Linked DNA regions of Callithrix jacchus. The protein of the gene in region 1 binds, or shares a complex with, the protein of each later gene. Links are inferred from orthologs where the notes say so. Each region holds a gene or a part of one and is shown on either strand. Other genes may lie near its edges.

The links.
Region 2: NUP43 (region 1) and NUP37 share a complex: the UniProt entries of both Homo sapiens proteins name them as parts of the nup107-160 subcomplex of the nuclear pore complex. The link is inferred for Callithrix jacchus from reciprocal best matches to the Homo sapiens genes NUP43 and NUP37.

What each region holds. Positions count from the first base shown.
Region 1 is NC_133505.1:156,504,898-156,507,669, forward strand, and holds the end of NUP43 (nucleoporin Nup43), read right to left. Parts: coding exon 2,607-2,772; 3' UTR 608-2,606; downstream 1-607. UniProt on the Homo sapiens protein: Component of the Nup107-160 subcomplex of the nuclear pore complex (NPC). The Nup107-160 subcomplex is required for the assembly of a functional NPC.
Region 2 is NC_133510.1:105,138,245-105,141,901, forward strand, and holds part of NUP37 (nucleoporin Nup37), read right to left. Parts: intron 3,055-3,657; coding exon 2,982-3,054; intron 1,173-2,981; coding exon 1,078-1,172; intron 1-1,077. UniProt on the Homo sapiens protein: Component of the Nup107-160 subcomplex of the nuclear pore complex (NPC). The Nup107-160 subcomplex is required for the assembly of a functional NPC.

The DNA of each region.
Region 1 (2,772 bases):
TGGGCAATTATGAAACCCCATCTCTACTAAAAGTACAGAAATTAGGCATGGTGGTACACACCTCTAGTCCCAGCTATTCAGGATGTTAAGATGGGAGGATCATCTGAGCCCAGAAGGTCAGGCTGCAGCGAACCATGATCATGCCACTGCACTCCAGCCTGGGCGATGGGAGTGAGACTCTATCTCAAGGAAAAAAAAAAAAAAAAATTAACAGAATAAAGATTAAAAAAAAGCCCCATAAGTAAAGCTAAAAACTAAATTAAAAAAATACCTGTATCATACAACCAAAGGCAAAAAAACAAACAAAAAAAAACCACATATAAAAAGATGTTACAAATAAGAAAATGCCAAACTACCTCAAAAAATGAAGAGGATATAAGCTAAGAATAAAAGCAAGTTTTAAAAGAAATGCAAATTAAACCAAACCGGTATTATAGTGGGAATCATAACGGTGAAAGGCTGGAAACATGAAATAATCAATAATAGGCAACCAATTGAAATAAATTATGGTACACACTCCTACAGCTTAGAATATTAACTAGCAGTTCAAAATGATAATAGAAAAAATGTGTTTACTGCTAGGGAACATGCATCCACAAAGATAATATATATATGTATATTTCATTTTATTAAGAAATTATATACATTGATGGATAGAAACGGATATGAAGAGTATTGTCTGTTTGAAATTCTAAGTACTTAAAACTTTCTTTTCTGTAAGTTATTTAGTAACAAAAAGTCTTTAAAAAATTAGTCCCAGCAATAATACTATAGACAGATCAGAAACCCAAAACCCCCTGAGATAAAGTGGCATTAAAAAAATTGAAAATAGGCAGGGTGTGGTGGCTCACACCTATAATCCCAGCACTTTCGGAGGCTGAGGTGGGCTGATAACCTATGGTCAGGAGTTCCAGACCAGCCCTGGCCAACATGGTGAAACCCCTTCTCTACTACTAATTAAAAATTAGCCAGGTCTGGTGGCGCACACCTGTAATCCCAGCTACTGGAGAGGCTGAGGCAGGAGAATTGTTTGAACCTGGGAGACAGAGGTCGCAGTGAGCTGAGATCATCACTCCAGCAATAAGAGCGAAACTCTGTCTCAAAAAAAGAAAAAGAAAATATTTATTAGGACAGAAAAGCAAAACCTTATCATAATTCCATAATTATGATTATTGGAATTATAAAGTAAATAAACACTTCAATTGTCTAATAGTACTGATTTATCATTAAGGTCTCAGGTCAATAACACATTTAATATCTAACAAATTTTGGAAAGATAGTATCATTAAAGTATCTTAAAACACTACATTAGGTCATTATTATCTCTGCAGACAAGAATAAAGATGGCTGATAAGACTATAGGTGGCTAAAACAAAAGGATTAAAATGGCAAAATTCTGGTGGGGGGTGGGGGGTGGGGACAAAGGTTAAAAAAAAAAAGAAAAAAATGGCACAATTCTTCACTCTGATTATATTATCATTTGATTAATCACACTTGTTAAGCATTGAATTTTAGTTTGGAAGTCAATTTGCTTATCAATATGAAATTCTACTTTATCACACGATGTCCAGTTTGGCAATTTTCAACTATGCCGTGAAGCTAAACAAAAGCTAAATTCCTTAGGAAAAATGTTGTGTTTGTTCCCTTTTCAACAGAAATAAAGTTGGGTCTAAGGAGTTGAAAGACTTCTGCTCAAAAACCTATTCTGAAAAAGGAACTTGTCAAAACATTTTCATCTTTAAAAAATTTCAGGATAGGTACAGTGGCTCACACCTGTAATCCCAGCACTTTGGGAGGTTGAGGCAAGCAGATCATGAGGTCGAGACATGGAGACCATCCTGGCTGACATGGTGAAACCCCATGTCTACTAAAAAACACAAAAATTAGCTAGGTGTGGTGGCGCACCCCTGTAGTTCCAGCTACTCAGCAGGCTGAGGCAGGAGAATTGCTTGAACCCGGGAGGTGGAGGCTGCAGTGAGCCAAGATCGCACCACTGCATTCCAGCCTGGCAACAGAGTAAGACTGTCTCAAAAAAAAATCTGTCTCAAAAAAAAATTCGAACATGGCTATACATCTTTGTTATTTTTGCTCTACTCAATTCTTTCTGAAAACATTTACTATAATTATTAAGGAAATAAAGTGTGGAAGGATCATAGGAAATACTTGCAATAAAAAGAATAATTGTTAACATTGACAATTGCCACTAGGAGGCGTATACTCCACATACTACTGATAAACATTGTAGGAACCCATTGGTGGTTCCCATAACCACCACTGATGTTGTGTTAATTGCCACATCTAAAACAAAGAACTAGTCCCATGAGCTGTCAATAATACTCTGAAGGCAACCTATTCATCAGCACCAGGATCCCACTGATTTTCTTGCACATGTTCACAATCTTTTGCCCTCTGTCATCCAACGGATTCTACAACTGTTGTGGGAGTGTCAGGCTAACAAAAGCCAAAACTGGGCATTGACATTAATGGCAGTTTATTGATGTTTCCCCTGCAAATCTCATATTTTCTGATAATAAAAGTTTGCACAGATGTTGGATTTCAAAAGGCTAATTGTGTGTTCTACCTGAAATCTTAAAATTACAGTACTTCTACGAAAAAAGATGTCTAGTAACATAAATTGCTTCTGCATCGGTTCCACAAACAAGACAAGGACCTAAAACATCCAAACTGTTCACAGACAGAGTCCTACTGGGAAGTAAGCTTGTGATTTCAATTCGGTCTTTTGCAGGATCCGTGCTGAGCCAGGAACTAATG
Region 2 (3,657 bases), on another chromosome or scaffold:
TACATAAGTACCAATAAATACTAAGGATTTTGGCACAGTTTTATAAAACATTATGTAAAACAGCAGAGCAGCAGTTTTTTGCTTCCTCAAAGTATTGTTAAAGCAAATGAAGCAACTGACACCCTTCCAATGACTGACGCACTCATTTCACTCCTGACTGCTCAGCTTATTTCAACCCGCTATTGTTTTCATCTTGTTCTTTACTTGTGATATTCTCCAGCTTTAGGCACTATTAAAATGTTATAGCTACCTCATCTGTCCTAAGTTAGGGGGTGGGGTACAAGAACAAAATAGTGACATGTATTGTATCTACATAAAACCTTATGTAGAAACCTCTGAATTTATCAAAACACTAAATTTTCCATCAGTCTTATGTAGCAGATAAGAGTTAGAGTTCATTATTAAACACTAACTTATATAGGCTCTGTGAGGTAACTTGACAACTGCATTTTATTCCTACGCATCTTGTCCAGTATTGGGGAATTTGATCCAATATATGTTTGGGCTTTTTTTTTTTGAGACGGAGTTTCGCTCTGTCACTCAGGCTTGAGTGCCGTGGCACAATCTTGGCTAACTGCAACCTCAGTCTCCCAGGTTCTAGAGATTCTCTTGCCTTGGCCCCACAAGTAGCTGGGATTACAAGTGCACACCATTACTGCTGGCTAATTTTTGTATGTTTAGTAGAAATGGAGTTTGCCATGTTGGTCAGGCTGGTCGTGAACTTCTGACCTTAGGTGATCCACCTGCCTTGACCTCCCAAAGAGCTGAGATTACTGGTGTGAGCCACTGTGCCTAGCCCGATACATATTTGGATTTCGTAAATGTCAAAATCCGAAATAAGACATAAAAGACACCCAAGGGAGGCAAGGGAACTTTTCATTAACGGCGACGAGGACCCAACTCACTGGTTTTGAAACTCATGTTTGTGTCATACCTACAGTTCAAATAAGGTATGCTTCTTTTACAACACTCTATAGAATTTATATAAAAGTCACATTTTTTTCTCATTCAAAAAATATAATTCTCATTAAAATAAAATGAAAATTTACAAATGTGGTTATAACATAAGCAACATACCTGCAGGTATGATCGTCACTCACACTTGCAATTCCTTGGCCACTTTCGGGATGAAACACCAAACCATTAATGAAATCTGAATGGCCCTCTAAAACCTGACAGAAAGAGAAAACTTAGTAAGAAAACAGGAAAATCTATAATATTCCTACACAATATTTTTGCTTCACTGCCTTAAAAGCTTTCACTGCATGTTTTTCTATAAATATTTCTTAAGCAATCTGCTATTTTTAAAGCATGATTTATACACCCACTTTTTGGAAGGTCTATCTTGGAAAGAAATTGATCATTCAACACACTATTAGCTTAGTCTTTCTTTTTTAGTATGCATTTCTTACAAAAACACACATACATTTTTATTGTACCTGTCCTCATATCACCTCCTTTCTCACTTTTTATATAAAGCTTAAATAAAAATTAGAGCTAGAAAACTTTTTAGGAGTACTGAGGTAGAGTGCCTCTAGGTTTTTTACCTTATAACTGTTGCTCTGTATACTCACTACTACTTAACAAACACACACAGGATGGACTTCACGATCTAATGCCTTCATTTACATGTTCAATGTGACTGCCAGCAGTGAAGACAGCTAGTTGTTGTAAGACTATAGTCATCATCAACACAAAAATCTTTGCCTTGACAGAGAAGCAACAAATGAGAAGTTGCATGGTAGAGGACTGTGTGAGCAGGTAAGGTTCAATCTGTCTAAATCTTCATGGTTGAAATCCTAAATAGGCCTGTCAGATAATTACTTTAATGATTATCATTTTTTCTACCCTTCCTTCTTTCCAAAAATTCAAATTTGATCTCATTCTGAGGTTATTAGAGCAGTTCTGTATAGTACTGATAACTATGTAGAAATGTAACATGAAAAAAAGAAAAAAGATTTGGGTCAAACATTGCTGAAAACTTTCACCAACCCAGGTCCTCCAAATCACTCTCCAAAGCTTCTGTCATAGCCTACAAGGCAAACTAAATTAACCGTGAATGTTTAATGTATATTATAACTACCATTTTAACTTTGGATAGGTCAAAATTTTATGTGCATTTATATACTTGGTTATTTTTGTTATAGCCTTAAATCAGCCAATCTGTACAATAGGTTAAGCCAATTGTAAATAGCTTAGAGCATAATTTTTTACTATTTTCTAAATGATTGGAAAGGTTTCATTTATCTTTGTTTTATAACAATATTCATATTTTGGTTTATTAGAAAGCCAAGGCAATACCATTCTTATAAGAAAACATGATGGAATTTCAGCCCAACCTGAGGGTAATTATTATGGTAATAGAAAACACACATATGGGTTTTGCTGTGTAACAAGCATTATTCTAAGTGTTTTATATGAATTTGCTCAGTCAACGCTGATAATTCTATAAGGCAGCTGCTATGATTACCCACATTTTACAGCTGAGGATATTAGCACAAAGAGATTCGGTTACTTAACCAAGGTCACACCATTACTAAGTAATAACACAGAGGTTTAAATGCAAGGAATCTGGATTCTGTGTCTGTGCTCTTAACTACTTTGGAATCTGGCCTGTGCTATGCTGTGCTGATCATTTGTTCCCTTGAAGTTCAACTCTTACTCTATGGATGTTCATGTTGATTATATTCCTAATATTTCCAACTTTGAATTTCTAATTCTTTCTTATTTGTTGTTCCTACCTAACATTTCAAGTTAATAAGTGATACGAGATTTATAATCTGCAGTCATTATTAAGAATATAGTTCTTAATATAGTAACCTGGTTACTATTACCTATAATAGAGTAAATGAGACCCTAAATTATATACTTTAATGATGACCATAAAAAGCCATTTTAAATTGGGATAAATTCAATTAAAACAGCAAAAAATAAACATGTGTTAAAATAAACTCTAAAGATTTGTATAGCTGTCAACATACCTTATATTCATTTTTATCTTGAAGATCTGAAGTAAACAATCTAATTTTCAAATCAGCAGCTGAAGTACAAAATCTGGAAGCAATAAAAAACAAAAATATTCCAATTTTCAGCCTTTGAAGGGAAAGGTCTCTCCCTCCCCTGATCTTTCCCTCCAGGTCACTGAAGTTGTTATCAGTAACTCATAATCTTGCTTTTTATGGAGGAAGAAAGAAGAATGTTGTGGCTCCACTGTAAAAAGTATTACATAGACATCACAGAAAGTAGGAGTAGGAGAGAACATATAAAAGTTTAGTTTATTCTGGATTTGCTTCTTCAATAATAAGTATAGAATTTTACACTAAATCAGCACTTGAATTTAATTTTAAATGTTTTCTTAAAAGCATAAAAGGATAGATTTTAAAAAGTATCTTCATTTTAGCCAGTCAACAAGAGATGTTAAAAATATTGTTACACATCTACCTTAGTCTTTGCCCTCTTCTGTTATCCATAGTTTATCCAGTCTCCTTAGTTTTTCTATTTCTCCAAATAAATCAGATTATATAAGATACTATTTTTATACCTATAAGAGCTGACATACTTGCTAAAGGTTGGAGTATTATTTATACTTTAAGCATTTAAGATACATTTTTCAGTAGTTCATCAATGGATTATTAAATTAAAAAACAAAACCTAAGC